Lepisosteus oculatus: one gene and its partner. The protein of the gene in region 1 purifies or fractionates together with the protein of each later gene. This does not show direct contact. Links are inferred from orthologs where the notes say so. Each region holds a gene or a part of one and is shown in the gene's direction. Other genes may lie near its edges.

The links. The genes of interacting proteins can lie anywhere in the genome.
Region 2: the proteins of arhgef6 (region 1) and pak2b purify together in Homo sapiens (affinity purification with mass spectrometry; 3 studies listed by BioGRID and IntAct, counting the BioPlex papers as one, with this or other methods). This does not show direct contact. The link is inferred for Lepisosteus oculatus from reciprocal best matches to the Homo sapiens genes ARHGEF6 and PAK2.

Annotation. Positions count from the first base shown.
Region 1 is NC_090703.1:49,178,590-49,186,716, reverse strand, and holds the start of arhgef6 (rho guanine nucleotide exchange factor 6), read left to right. Parts: upstream 1-4,676; 5' UTR 4,677-5,002; coding exon 5,003-5,167; intron 5,168-6,087; exon of another isoform or gene 6,088-7,709; intron 7,710-8,127. Other genes in the region: rbmx (RNA-binding motif protein, X chromosome), read left to right, coding at 1-14, 295-412, 511-642, 747-838, 1,628-1,947. UniProt on the Homo sapiens protein: Acts as a RAC1 guanine nucleotide exchange factor (GEF).
Region 2 is NC_090708.1:10,585,337-10,593,125, forward strand, and holds the start of pak2b (serine/threonine-protein kinase PAK 2b), read left to right. Parts: upstream 1-4,303; 5' UTR 4,304-4,570; intron 4,571-7,789. Other genes in the region: pigx (phosphatidylinositol-glycan biosynthesis class X protein), read left to right, coding at 511-592, 789-924, 1,604-1,817, 2,483-2,583, 3,008-3,175. UniProt on the Homo sapiens protein: Serine/threonine protein kinase that plays a role in a variety of different signaling pathways including cytoskeleton regulation, cell motility, cell cycle progression, apoptosis or proliferation.

The DNA of each region.
Region 1 (8,127 bases):
ACCAATGGGTTGGTGTGAGTTTGTTTTTGTGATGGAGGGTCATACGGGGTCTTGAACTGGTCCGCTGCTTTTGACAGGATCCGGTGGGTTGCGCGTGCTTGGCCGTGTGCGTGTCGGAACGCTACTTCTTCCTAAAGTGACGGCGCGTGCAAGACGTGAAAACAGCATTGATCTTGGGAAGCCTTGTTCCAGGTGTAGTCGGTATTTGTGGCAAAGGGCAGGCCGTGCTGGGGTTTATGTAATCTCTGACCCCTTGGATCATTACCGATTGGTGTAATCTTTTTTTCCCTTCAGCTCCCATGTCTCGGGAAAGAGACCCCTATGGCCCACCACCACCTCGCAGAGATGCCATGCTTTCCAGGAGAGATGATTATCCTTCTCCAAGGGATGATCATTACAGCACTAAAGACAGGTAAAGCTAGAAGATGCCTAAATTACTCTCGATTGTTTGTGTATGAGCTCAATTTTGTGGCTGGCTTTTACTAACGTTGTGTGCTCTTTTCCCTCTAGCTATTCCAGTCGGGATTACATTAGTTCCAGGGATACGAGAGATTATGCTCCGCCCCCAAGGGATTATGCGTATCGGGAATATCCACACTCCAGCTCCCGTGATGAGTATGGGTCGATGTCACGTGGCTACAGGTATTGTTGCTTCAGCGAGGTTGTCAAGATTTCGTATGTGCTAAGGTTTCTGGCTTTCAGATAGACAAGTGCACTTTGAACTGACCAGTCTCTGTATTTTAAAGTGACCGTGACAGCTATGGTGGAGGACGTGAACCCAGGGGTTACCTAGATCGCCCAAGTGCTGGTTCCTACAGAGATCCTTATGATGGTTACGGTAAGACTATGTACTTTGTGGTGTCTGGGTACGCTGTCCTAGTAGGGAAGACGCCTGTTGTGCACGTTTAAGGTTCTTGTTGGCCTGGAGACAATGCGTCTGATGTCTCAAACTCCTCCAAGGGGAAAACCAGTGCAGAATGAATTGCAGACCCGAACAGAGCTCAATAAAGAGAGCCTCAGCAAATGCCCACTTCTACAAGGAACCTTGCACGGTGACCGATTTCTGGAAATGTAATTTATAAAGCGCCCGGTCCAAAAAAAAAAGCAACCTCAAGAAATAAAGCCAAAAAAAAGTTGTCAGTCTCCTACGCTAAATTAAAGCTGGAGTTCATCAGAGGAAATCCCAAGCCGCTGCTCAAGGAAAAAAAAAAGTACACTGGCATGTTGCAGGGGTTTCGTCATTGTTGCAGTTCCCCCCCACCCCGAAAATCCCTAATTTGGGTATCTTGGATACAGTATAGGCAATCTGTGCCCCCATCCACCTGTCCCAGTCCAAAGTCTTATTTGCAAGTCAAAACAAAGCTATAGCTTTACCTGGGGGAGAGACAAGTGTTTAAAGTTTTGAGAAGTACACATTCCTTTCACGTTAAACGAAAGGTCCGTTTTTAAAAGGAAAAAAACAAGTTAAAATCAACTTGGTCCAGAATGGAGGTGTTAGGAAGGAGAAAACACACACACAAAAAAAAAAACCCCACAACCAAAAAAAAAAAAAACAAGACAAAAAAAAAACTTGCAGAAAATGTTTAAGTGATAAACTTGCCAATTACCTGACCCATTGACCCTGCAGGTAACTCGCGCAGCGCCCCGCCCTCAAGGGGGCCCCCACCCTCCTACGGTGGAAGTGGCGGAAGCAGTCGTTACGATGACTATGGCAGCAGTTCCAGGGATGGATATGGGAATCGCGACAGTTACCCCAGCAGCAGAAGCGACCCGTACTCCGCCAGCCGCGGAGAGCGACTTGGCAGGCAGGAGAGGGGGCCCGCGCCCCCGATTGAGAGAGGCTACCCTCCTCGGGAGACGTACAGCAGCTCGAGCCGCGGAGCGCCCAGGGGCGGCGGCCGGGGGGGGAGCCGTTCCGATAGAGGAATTGCCCGAAGCCGATACTAAAACGGACCACATGAATGACTTGCTTGTACAGGCCTACCGCTTTGCTCTCGGAGAGGAAAAAGAAAAATCAAAAATGGCGATTTGAACTTTGGTGGACAACAATAACGTTTATTTATTGTTGAGCTTTTTTTCTCCTCTCCCCTTCACTACCATAACTGTTCCGTTTGAGAAGAGTAAAGTGAAATGTTTAAATGAGTTTTATTTTATTTTCCCCCCCCCCCCACCCGCCCCTCTCCCCTTGATAGTGCAAGCCATTTTAAAAGTGATAAGTGTTCTGTTTTTGGTTTTTGTACACTAGTGCTGTTAAAACTTGCTGCAATTCCCTGGAATAACATGCCTTTTCATTTACTAATAAAGTTTTTATATCGACAATTGTGAGCGAAGCTCGTGGATGTTCCAAAGATCGATTAAGTGTATGCACAACTCTGCATTTGCCTTTCAAAGCTTTACTTCTGTTAAAGAAATTCCAACAGTCCGAAACCCAAAATACTGACCAAAATAAGAACTATTGGACCTTTTTACATATTAGCGAATGCTGTTATCTAGAATTTTGCTCCTGCAGTTTCATTAGTGGCCCTGTGGTCTCATTGCAAAAAAAAAAAAGGCAAATGTTACTGTTCCAAACTCTTTATCGGTGTAGTTTTCCTCAGTTTGAAAAGGATCCTTCACCATAATGAATAAACAATGGTGGCTTACTACGACCTTACCAAAGAGCCTGACAACCAAAACGCAACCGAATCTTTTCAACACTCAACAGATTTAAACAAGTTGCCTGTGACAACAGATGGTAAGCAAAGCAAACTTTTTCTTTCCCCCCTCGTCTAAATGAAGGGTTCAGTTCATTCACGTGAGTAGCCATCTCCGCAAAGGTTGGTGCTGTAAACTGCAACATCACTATTGAAAGTATCGCCTCAGCTCAACTCAAACCTTTGTAGGAAAAAATGCTGCAGAACGGCAAGCCCCGATACCCCAAGTCTTTTTAATTTAAAGACTAGTCCTTGAAAATGGTCATTGCAGAGCACCATATGAAATTTTTAACTGTATTTTCATCTTTTGGAATTTGCATTAAACCCTAAAGCCCAGAAAAGCTCAAAGGATTTGAGGCCTTTGTATAATGTAAAGGAGTCATTAGTTTTTGTAGTTTCTGCAAGTCTTCGTGCTTATAAATACAGAAATATCCATTTTGGGGAAAAAAGGAAATGAAACCTCTGATGGAATATCCTTACTTGGAACAAAACTGGAAATGATGGATCAAAAACAAATTGGATCGTAGCCTAAAACTGCTCAGAAGATGAGGACTTGAGCCTTTTTTTTTCATTTTTTTTTAAATTTGCCCTACTTAATGTTATGCTGTCGTATTAATGTTGTCTTTTCATTACAGGATGAAAATTGCGGTTTGTGAATTAAGTGGAAAATTAAGTCATGGATTTCATTCATGAGTTGGGTGTTGGTCAGCAATGATCTCAAGAGTTGAAAGGTTAGTTTTCACAATCATTTTCTTAATTGGTGTTTGTGTACTGTTTTTAACCATTTACTTTAATAGACTTCAGAAAATTGTATGCAACAACTCCATGTAACTCGTTTTAATTCTGATTTCTAATCTTTGCTTGAAATTTACAGGTGACTGTTGGTTGATTACCAGACCTCTGTTGTGGTAATGGGACTGGCCTTGGGCAGCATCCTCAGAAGTTGAAGAGGAGTACTTGAGTTTTGGATAAGAGGGCAGTCTGGCTCTTATGTGATGGGGTGGGGTTTAAATCTGGGACTGTATTTCAATAAAAATTCACTGAAATTGACTTGTTTGCCTCAATGACTAAATTTACAATGGAACTAAAGGGTTTCTTGATTAGAGATTAAATTACAAGAATGTCTTTTGGTAAAGGGTTAGAATGCAGGATCTTCTCACAATGGGATAAATGGAAGGGAGTCTGTTAAGCTGGTATTTTAAATGCTTTTCATCCCAGAATGCTTCACATACAGGAAGTGAGCAACTGAAATGCAGCACACAAACACCTGCATCATGTCACTAGTTGCACTGCACAGCAGATCATGTCGAGTGGAAAAACATCCTTCACCAGTGAAGGAGGAACTTTAGGGAGGTGCAAACTGGGATTTCATTGGGGCACCATGTCTTATACCCCTACTTGTGCAAATGGTGCCATGGTTTCTCAACTTCAAGGCCCAGGTATAATGCTCTTGCAGTAGTTACTTAATGGTGGACTTGGCTGAAGGCAAATAAGGTGGCCTTATGTAAGGCAACCTTACATTACTTATGCAACAAATAAAGTTCAGCCTATTTTCATGTTGATTAAAGGCAGTTTTTTTAAATCATCCTTTTTTTCTTGCACAGCCTTTTTATGATGGCATGATCCACCCCCCCCACCTACTGTCACACAGATACAGTGCATAATCAACCACATTTGTTTATTCATGTTGCATTGCGTGATTTAGTTAAGTTAAATGATTACAGCTTTATTTTAAGGGTTTGCTTTTTCTTGCCTTTCCATTTTTTTCTATCTTGGCACGTAACTTTAGTCTACTTGCTGAGCGTTTGAGGAGCTTGGATTCACAGAGCCCTTTTACGGTCGTTCCCAGATCGCATCGGGTTATTTTTAGGCTAAGAAGCGGATGTTGCTCCCGATTTTCCCTTTGCCAAAGGAAGCAAAAAAAAATCGACTTTCAAGTAGCGATGTGATGAATTGAATGTGCAAGGATTGCACAGAGTGAAACCACTGCATCGTTTGCAGAAACGTGATAGGCTCGGGAAGTGGCACGCTCGCAAACGCTGCGAGGCGTCTGTAAAGAAACAAGGGAAGTTAAGTTCCCGTAGGAAAAATAATTTCCTGGCGACGGATTTCCCTCCCAGAGCCCAGACATAACGGGGGGACGAGCGATGGCTACAATGCAGCGGTAGTGCGCTCGGCGCTGCGATTTCAAGACGACAAAAGCAGAAGTGGATGATGATATCGCGGATGTGGGTTATATCTTGAGAACAAGCAGGGGCCGCTCTCGATACAGACTGCGGGGCGACTGCACATCCAGCCCTGGCGTGGCGATGAACCCAGAAGAGCAGACGGTGACCTGGCTCATCTCTTTGGGGGTGCTGAATTCGCCGAAGAAGAACATCGCGGACCCGGAGGAATTTCTGAAGGCGTCGTTGAGAGATGGGGCGGTTCTCTGCAGGCTCATGGAGAGGCTCCTGCCGGGCTCTGTGCAGAAGGTAATAATAAACCCAGCGGCGAGCGCGTCACGATTGCCCTCCTCGCTCGCACGGCGGGATGGCGGGATCATCCGCACGCCCGAGGAGTGCATTGCGCATCCTGGCTTCAATTCTTGCACGGCCGTTTCGCTGGTCGCAGGTTAACCCCCCCAAAAAAAAACATGTTAAAAGTACGAAGACAGAGGTGCGCATCATGGCAGGAAGTTTGCCAGGCAAGCCGTGTCAAAGCATCATCGCGCTTTTTGACAATGATAAATAAATATATATATATAGGGCTCTTGAGCTCAACAAATCTTTTCATTGCGCTTTAATATATAGTGTTAATGTGTATAATGATAACGTTGTTCTATCGTGCAGCTAAAAAAAAAATCCGAAGCTTCAGTTTCCCTACTTCCTGTAACTAGTCGACGGATTTTCCGCATTCAGAATGAACTATAGCATCTTGCGGTTGAATTCTGCGCCTACAGTTCTGTTTTCTACAACTAGATATAATATAAAATATCACCGCTCAGTCGCATCTCTGATATAAAAAGTCCTGACATGTTTTAAATACACGTGCCTCTCCGCAGCCCGATATCTGCACTCCTAGACTTTGTATTTCTCCTCGGCGGCTATTCCTAGTGCATATGGCATTCATCTTGTGAATTCCTTTTAAAATAAACCATCCTTTGTTGTAAAATACTGGCTGTAATTCGGTGCAGATCAACAAGCCTTCTCTGTTCCCAGTTCACGCTTATCGAGAAAGCGTCGCTGGCGCGTACAAGGCCAGCGCTCCGTGTGGAGACGACAGAACGGGTTTCACTCGTTTGCGCTGCTGCAACTGTAGATTTTTTTTTAAAAAAAGATTGAAAAACTATGACAAAAACTTTTAGGACACGAAACTAGCACACAGATTGAAACAGCGATCTTAATAGCCCATGGATTGATATATTGTGCTCCTGTGTTTTTTTTTTTGGAGCCACTTTATTTACAATTCTCTACCTTGACACTGTCTCAAAGAAGAAGTGACACTTCAGGGTGACAGGGATATATATATACAAAGTTTTCAGTTAGAGTAGTTCAGGTGGGCAGCTGGATCAGCATGCATAGGCTGCAAAGGAACAAGTGATAGGTTTATTCCATGGTGAAAGAGAACGGAGGCAGAGAGGGCACTCAGGCGGTGCAAAATGGAGAGAGGTGTCAGTACCTGCCTGTGCATAGAGAAGATTACACGAAAAAAAAAGTCTGTCATTGAGAGAAGGGGGAAGGTGTGAACCACGTTTCTGGACAATTTTCGTTTCTGATGTCTTTTTGCTATGGGAGTTGAAAGTTAGTTTTTCAGCTTGGAGTTGCCCCTCATCCAGGAGAATCAGTCCCCAAATCAGTGTTGTACCGCCATGAGGGGGTACCAAGGCGTTCTGATGGTCAAACAGCAAATGGCAAGACAACATTACCTTCCCTGAAAGAAGGAAGCTGTGGATCTCTGTGGAAGGCAGCTGGGTGTGGGGGAGAGGCCGGCCTCTCCGACAGGAATGGGCTGGGTGAACGGACGTCGGCCACGTGCTTTTGCAGCCCCTCAGAGACAATGGAAATACCTGGGGAAGCTGAAGGCACAACCGGCCAATGTGGACCACAGATGCACAGGTTCTGGACAGGGGTTCGAAGCCATGTGCCGATCACTGGAGACCTGCATGTGAACCTTGTTGCAGGAGCCAGAAACTGCCCATCTTGGGACTCACGGACCTTGCATTCTTCCGAAGCCACAGGACACAGGGAATCTCCATCTCCAGATTCATAACCACCAATGATTTTTTGTTGTTGTTGTTGTTGTTGTTGTATAACTACACAAGTCAGATTCAGCAGCTGTTGAAGACTCGGCTAAAGGCTACAACTCCTGTCCCGCACAAGAAGCAGGCCGGCTCGCAGACGCGCCCCCTCCGAACGCACCCACCTCCGTGGTGCCTTACGGAGGAGTCAGCGCTGATCTGAGGAGCATACCAGTCCCTGTCAGCGCCAGACAGGTCACAGGACCAGAAGACTCAGGCCGACTAATGCCAGGCCGTCCTGCCCATCAGAGTGTCCCCCTCAGACACTGCCAGTCTTGTGCCACCTAATGGAATATCCTGGTCACAGCTGGCGAATCACAGTCTGTGGACCACAGGGCAGCAGCTCTGCCGAGTCCAGCAGAGGGAGGCGATGAGGAGGGCGAGCTCTCAGTGCAGCCTGGAGCAGGAGAAGAGAGCCTTGTTGTTCTCGCTGAGGCGTCCTGGCCTGCAAAGCAGTTCTGTTGAGGAGATACGGCCCGAGCTGCCGGCTGGACACTTAGATTAGCGCGGGGCGACCTGACCCGAGTTCAGGGCCGCGTGCGGGCCCAGGAGCGGCATCGGGGACCTCAGCAAAGCAGAAGAAAGTGTGCAGAACGAGAACTAGCTCCTTTTCTTACTCGTGGCTAATTGATCCAAGAGCCTGAATCAGCAGTTCCTTAAAACATGCGATGGTGTCGGCCTCAGCATCGCAACCGGGACAGCTGGTTCCACCCTCCCTGCCTGCTTTCAAAACACAGCTGGAACAGAAATGGGATCATTTAGCTACTGACTATAACAGGCCACAGGAGGCCAATGGCCTTATGTCGTTAAGGTTTGCCATTGTAAACCCCAAGTAAACTGGAATGTGATATTTCTCCAGTTTTCTAGGGCTTTATCACAATTACACCAGTCATCGCTAACTTGATTAAATTTCTCCTTGATTTTATACAGTGGTTCGTCACAGGCTACAGACGAATCGAATGAATAATAATAACACCACCTCTCTCTGCTTTTACTGTGAACACGGTTTTACCGTGGTAAACAACAAAAGACTAACAGGGGTATAGACAACTGAGCTGTAACTGTTGTTTATTATCATAATTGCACATTACGGGGCTGATATGAGTCACCAGATCACATTTTCACTGGCCAGTCAGTGAACCTGTTTATTCAAGG
Region 2 (7,789 bases), on another chromosome or scaffold:
TCGCAGTTCCAATTGACGTGTTTCAAGACGCTAACGTTGTATTTGAAATCGAGAAGTGAATTCTTTTGTTCCTGAGACGCTGAGTCTGAGTTAATTATACCGTCTGATCTGGATTAATTCTGCCCCAAGAATATAGTCTACGTGTTACTCAAATTGTAGTTATAAATCGATTGAATGTTCTCGCTTTTTTTCCCCAATTTTAGTTACATTTCTGGTATTATTAAAAATCCAGTAGATTGAACAGCCAAGTGAACTGATTTCACAGGACATGAATTTGACAGCATTTGTTTTCACATTTGCAGTGAATGCATTGACAGTATTTAAGTTTATTTGTATTTACCTACTGGGAAGCAGTTTTAAATATTATATTCAAAGTGATACACCTTGATACACAGATAAGCTCATACACTTTGATCACCTGCTTCTTAGCATAAAAGATTGTAAACAGAAATTAATTTGAACTTTTTAACATGGGGTTTTGGGGTATGTAACTGGATGTCTGTTTTGCAGGAGAAGAAAGATGTGGCTTCACAAGGGAATGGCTGGAATCACTCACAGTGTCAAGGGAACTCAGGAAAAATGGTTTTCACAGGTGATTGCTTATTGTGGAAATACATCTTTCAGTTGCCTATAAACACAACAACACAGTGCTGTATTGTGAGCCACCTGTATTGTGAGCAGGGAAGTGAGATTTAGTCATGCTGTTTCATTAATGTGCCGTGGGCATTATGGCTCAGTTTCAGTAAGCAATATGTGTGAAATATTGAAGTCTGTGGCTCTATATTTAGGGAGCTTGTGACCAGTGTATGCTGTGGCCTGGGGTCTCCCAAAAACCTGCATTTCCTGCTGGTGGAGAGGCTTCCCAAAGGAATCTACATTGACCCTTACCAGCTAACATCAGAACAACACGACACTGGCTTACAGGTAACAGGCACTACAGGAGTAGTGAGAGTAGGATCACACCATGGTAACCACAACTTGCTGCACCAAATACGGAGTATAGAGGATTTTCTTTCTCCTGGTACTAGTCTGAAGTTTCATCTTCTTTCCCCTCCATTTCAACATTACAAGGAAGCTATTGCTTGAATTTTTTAGTCTTTTTGAAACAAAAGAAAAAAAAAACGTAATCTGTGAAGCCTCTTTTTAGGGTGGGGGAGAGGTAGAGCCAAGTCTAAAGAAACCTCCACAGCCAAAATCTTTTCCTGTTTTGTTTTACTTTTCAGAGTGGAATTAACCTCTGCTTGTAACTTTTTTTGCTGTGCCTGTCACGGTCTGAGTTTTACACCAGCAGTTCTTTTGGGCACATGCATTCATTTCATTTTAAGGACAGTAGTTTCTTGCATAAGGTAGGTGAGCTCATGTCAGGTGATTTCATAAAAATGCCTTGGGGGTTAGTGCTAGTTAATTGAGCGATTTAAAAATGCCAAATGATTAAGACTCTCTTTAAAAACAACAAAAAACATGACCATGCATAACTATTTTAGTACATTTATGTCACATTAAATATCGGAGATCTTTTAGAAGCCCCACATTTTTTTTAAAGAGATCAGGTGGCAAATTTTACAGTTCTTTTGGACTGACAGGGTTCCATCTCCTTGTGCAGGTGCTTCTGGACACAGAAATTGATGTGGAAGCCCCGGCGTATGTTTCTTCTGCGTTTCCTGCCCTAGTTTATCCCACACGGGACCCTGCATCTCCTGTGTGCTTGAAGGCAGTTGTGCCAATCCATGGGCGCTATCATCGTCCTTCAGATTCCGGGAAGAGAACTGCCCCGATTGACATCGAGAACCCCCACCTGCTGCTCCGAGCAGACTCCTGTGAGTCCTCGGGTCTGTGTGTCTGGCAGCACTTTCTTCTTGATATAGTGACCTATGTGTGTCAGTTTGCAAAGCAGTTTTTTTTGCCTTTATGATGTTTCACCAGGGGCAGACTAATAACATGTCTGTCTCTGATGTTAAAAGCTTTCAAAGCAGGAACAGAAGCCTTCTTGAGTAATTTCAAATAAATGCATGATCCGTTATCACCTTCAGAAAAATATGAATCGGTCACTCCAATCAAATTACAGAAAATTGAAGACTACAGAAAAGGCTCAGCTGTGGAGCCGTACTCACTAATAAACATGCTTTTGGGGTAATTGTCTTATTTCCTGTTTGCCTTGTCATCTGATGATGAAAACACATCTACACATACAACACAAGTGCTTTTCCTCAACAATATAAAATACAAATCAATGCTTTCACTCATTATATAATTGCATTTCTGTTTTGTGCTTTGTTGGGTTGTTCTTAAAACTTACTAGTAAGTAATAAGTGGGAATTAATACCTTACTTTGCATTTTGGAATAAGTTTTTAAATTTAAAGATTGTACAACATCCTGTACCTGAAAGCACATTACTCCTTGTGCTGTTTACTGTTTTGTAGTATTTTCAAAGTACAGAAAAACACGTGCCTCTTAAAGCAGACCCTTTGTGCTTTTTTGCAGGTGATCTGCCTCCGAACTTCATCCCTTATACACTGACGGACGCCCCCTGTACAGCTCTTAATCACAGCATGTGCAGATGGCTGCAGATACATTCTGCACAGGTACACTGTCGCCAGTCTGTCACTGTGGTCCTACTGCTGGGGCTAAGAAATGACTATGCATGTTTATCCTCTCTTACTGGGTGTGCTCCTAAGATATTTTTAAGTTTTAAGCATGGGATATGTTGCTGGCTGCAAAATAGGAAGGTCTCAGAAAATAGTTACTGTCTCGGGTGCTTTGGTCATGGTACTGTCCTGCCGTCTTGATAATTTGGGTGTAACATTGGCATCTGTTTGATGAGCTTCAAACCGCTCATATGGAGACTTTGACCAGGGGAGGCCATAATGACTTGGGTTCAGTTACCAAGAACTCTACCAATAACGATTTCCTTAAAAAAAACAAAAAACTGTTGATGTCTCACTAAGAAATCAGGTCTGTGCGGAAACTGAAATAAATTTCGCTGCCCAATCTTCTCACTCTCTTCAGGAGCCTGGGCCGCTGCGCCTGGAGATCCCCGTGGGGGACATGCGACTGGTTGGATTGGTTTCCGCTGCCACCCTGCTCGTGACCCTGCTGAGCTGTGGCTACCTTGCAGGGGCCGTGTGGAGAAATGAATTCCTCCAGTCTCGTCCCCCTGTCAGCCAGGGGACCTGACGCCCGGTCCTCAAAGGGACTTTCCAAAGTGTTTGTGATTGCCTGGACAAAGGATTTTAAACATTAGATCTGATGTATAATAATTTATTCTAAAAGCTTCATATTTATATTTGTAGATTCTCTGTTTAAACTTAAATGATGACAGATATGCAAAACTACTACCACTACTAAGAATAATCAGCCACTACATCTGGTGTGAATTTGTCTTTTGGGCGTGTACACCGCATGTTAGCATTGCATTGGGTGGACATATCTCTTTAAGTGTGGGAGTTTTGTATTTGTCAGAAAAGTAAATAAAAACTCGAAAATGGTGTCAAGCTTTGTTGCTCTTTATACATTAAACTATCTGTTTGCTCACAGCTGAAGAAGGCCTCAAAGCTGAAGCAGTTTTTTCCCTGTCTTTCATTAATACTCTGTAACATTTGTTGGGAAAATTGTTTTGCACCCTTGCAACTATGTTTCACATTCAAACTTACAAAAACAAAAAGTAAAAATATGCATTATACTAAAAATGTAACATTAATGTATAAAATCCACATCATATTCACCTTAAGTGGATTTAATGGTCATAGGGGAATTATGACTTGGAACAAAAAATCATGTTTATTTGACTAGTGTTGTGCTATCAGTAATGATCATGTGCAGGTCCAGGCCTAGTATTAATTCGTTTCTACGTTACTGTTGTTTTTTGTAGAGCAGTTTGGAATGCTTTTGGTGGCACTTTTAACATATTGGAGCTGGTATATAAAGTTTGCTTCGATTTAATTGTGAAATTACTTCATTCTAAAACCATGCCCTGCACTTGTTGTACCACTCTGAAAGAACTACAATTCCCTTTCATACATCCTACACTACTCCTTTCTGTGTATTCCTGGGAAAAGCAGTCCCGACTCCTTCACCGCCCTATTTCCAGAAAACGCTACGAGAGGAAGAGAGAACTACATCTCCCATAGTGCTCTTCGTGCGAAGCGCTGCAGGGACCCGCTGTCTTTGTTTTCTGAACATTAGTTTTTTTTTTACAAACGTGTGGGTTTGTTTCAGTGAGCAGGCAACACACGTTAAAACGTTAAAAATTCCTCCTGAAGAAAAAAACACAGATTGCAATTAGATTGTAATTTCTAATGTCATCCGACACTGGGTTGGGTCGGTAGTTCCGCTTCCCCTCCGCCATTGCGGGTTTGTCCCGGTCTAAGAAGATAAAAGAATATAAAAGGAACGCAAGAAAAAGAAAGAAATTGCTTGGATATTGTATTGGCAGAATTTGGGAAGGGGAGTGCACTCAAATAGTGGTATTTTAAAAAAACGATATCTGAACTCTTGATTATCGGTTCTCGTAGGAGGCGGAGCTAGCATCTAAAGAGTTTTGTGGAAGTTTGGAGCTGAGAGTTTCGCCTGGTGAGTCCTGAAGTTAATTATTTAACTTGCTTTGGTGTTCGTATATTTTATAAATTGGATTGTGTAAGTTTCGAAAATACTATGTTTGCCGAGAAACTGCATGAATGTGATATTTGGCAGGACACCGGTAGCTTCTTTATGTCGGAAACGTGATATAAAAAGTTTTACAGAAGAGTTGAAATCGGTGAAAAGTCTCGTATTTCATTACGTATTTTATTGTTGCAAGTAGTCTTTGAATTTATTTAACAGACGACAAATGTCACTGGCATTTATTTTAGCAGAAAAAATCGGTTATAGTTTATTTTGTCTAAAAAGAACAATACAGGTGTATGCTCTCTCAATGTGAATTTGCACAAACAGGATTTAAAATAATCTAAAAACACTTTTTAGTGGAGATATTTGGCATTTTTCCTTCCACTCTTGTTTATGTATCACCATTGGAAATTTTTATTATAACAGCACTCAAGATACGACTGATTTCAGTTAATGTAATATTGAATGTGACAATGAATGTTATCCGTTTTTCCATTGCACTTAACACCGAATTGCAGTTCTTTGATTTTACTTTATTAATCATATTTTCAACTTAATTTTGTGAACTATAATACGGGATGGTGGAAATACACGAGAATATTGACTGGTACAATAAGTCATTCCCCAGTCCCTCTTTTTAATACAGGAAAATCGTAAATAATGGAGGAGAGCTCAGAAGACCACTATTTCATATACATTTTAATCCATCTCTGGTGTTCAAGGTGCAAGCTCTAATGAGAGTTAAGTATTTATGGCCCAAATTGTATATGTTCAGCCACGAGAGGTAATGTGTTTTTTTTTCTAAGAAAAGAAAACATTCTTGGTGACCCATGTGAGAAGACAGCTTGCAAACCCCAAAACTGATCAAAGACTGTTTAATCTGAGTTTTATCAGCTGTTCAGTGCAGTTTAACAAAAGGAGCAAGTCATAGGTTTATTCCATGCTGAAAAGAGAAGAAAGAAAACACAACGTTTCGGCTGTGAAGCCTTCTTCAGGTGTGAGAAATACAGCCGAAATGTTGCAGAAACGTTGTTTTCTTTCTTCTCTTTTCAGCTTGGAATAAACCTATTACTTGTTCCTTTGCAGCCTACGCATGCTGACGCAGCTCCCCACCTGAACTAGTTTAACAAAAGGTTTGTTTTGCGTGTTTCTGATGTTTTGCTGGAGATTTAGTTAAGAAGATTGGCAGATAGTGCTTTCTTGACACTGCAGCACTGCATTCGAATACCTCATTATGAAAGTCATGTGTTTAGCCACTAGCACAGCACAAAACCTTTCATTAGTTACATTTTGAATAAACAGTTTTAAGTTTTATGTCCATATTTGATGTCCTGCACACCTGGCCAAATGTTTTTTACACAGAGTATGCAGAGTTCCTAGAAGAAAAGTCATGGTTGCTTTTAAAAGTTATAGGATTATTGGCCATTTTCTTTACAGCTGAAGCAGGTTATAGGTATGATGTAGTCTTGCCTGTCCTGTGTTAATATTCCCACACACGGTGTGATGTAATGTTTGTATATATGGTTTGAAATTAAGCCCACTTGAAAATACTATCCTTGTTCAGAAGAAGGGCCCAATTTCTCAGTGAGTGGAGTAACCAGAGCTCTAAGAAAAGAGAACTTGCCAGTTAAAACCACACTGGCTATATTGCATTACTTTTCGTTTTTCAGTTTTTTCACTTGAACTTGAATGTCTGTAGCATAACAGTATAGTACATTTCTATGTTATAGGGAACCTGCTTTCTTTTGGATAGGTAGTGTTAAACGAATAACCTCTTCTGTTCAGCCAGCCCATTGTAACCTTGGTGAAAACAAAAAGCAATGTACTTTTTTTTTATCATGGCAGTGTCTGTTTTCTTTTCATTATTTTATTGAAAAAAGGGAGTTCCTGGAGTTTGTCGCCACACAGAGCCGAGGTAAAACGTTGGGCATGGATTGCAAAAAATGTGATTTTTTTTTTTTCCTTGTAGATGTTTTTTAGAGGAATTGGAGGAAATTACGTGAGGGGTTGGTGGCGGTGTATCCCGGGTGTGAAGCAATGCAGAAAGCTGATGGACAGCAGATAGGCTGGTACACACACTCCATCAGTGAGAACTGCCCAGGGAGCCTCTGGGTCGAGTAGTAGTGTCATGTGTCTGCCGAGAGAGAGACCGCACTGTTTTCACCAGGCACCAAGGGGAAATGGGACTCGCAGACAGAAAGGAAGGGGGCAGGTTACCTCACACCAGGAAGCACCGTTCAGAATTTCCTTTTATAGACTGCTGCAAATACAAAGGCTCAAAGTCCCCTTTTCCTGTAAACAGTCACTCTAGTGCAGGCTTTGTGGCAGGCACACGGGGGGAGACGGTCCTCCTGGAAATGAAAGCTGGCCTCATCGGCTTGTAGAACATATCGCCAGGCTCCATAGCCAGCCAGCAGCTGGCTTTCAAAACTTGGCAGATGACAGCAGCTGATGCTAGGTGCTATACAACACGGTAGTGCTCTCCAGCTAGTGCCCCTGGGTTCACAGTTCAGACATTATTACAGCCATTCTGCTCTCTGTTTGAATTGTAGTAGAGCACCTGTTGTGCTTTAATGGAACTTCTCTTTCATTCGTTGGGGGAGGTTTAATAAGGCTTTAGAGCCCAGGACAGACAATGTCAGTTTTTGTTAGTATGGTGCCACTTACAGTAAATTAGAGGGTCCCATGGTGCCCCAACAACCACTAGCATCAGTTTAATTTAAATGCATTGGTCAAACCATCACTAAACAGTGGTACTGCTGCACCAAACAGTCCTGTTTAAACTGCACTAAATGTTATTATCATTACTGAATTCAGGGTTGTGATATGTATTTTGATTCAGAATGCAATTTCCATGCTGCTCCAGAAAAAGGGAAAGGTAAATGATTCCTTGGTGTCCCAAGATGTTACCTGCATAAACAACTGGAGATGAAGGCCTAGGGTGTATTGCCTGTGAGATGTATTTAATTTTTTCTTCTGTTGAACCTTTGGGGGTAAATTAATCTCTCGGCTGCACGAGTCCTCGAAACGTTAATCTGTTGGTAAAATGTAACATCGGTCACTAGGATCTTCTGTTGTGGGTGGCTTTAAGCCGTATAACCAGCCTGTCACAATTTTTGAATTTCAAAATATCTTGGAAAGTAGTACAAACCCCCTTCACACACCGTGGCTCTACGCAAATTGTTT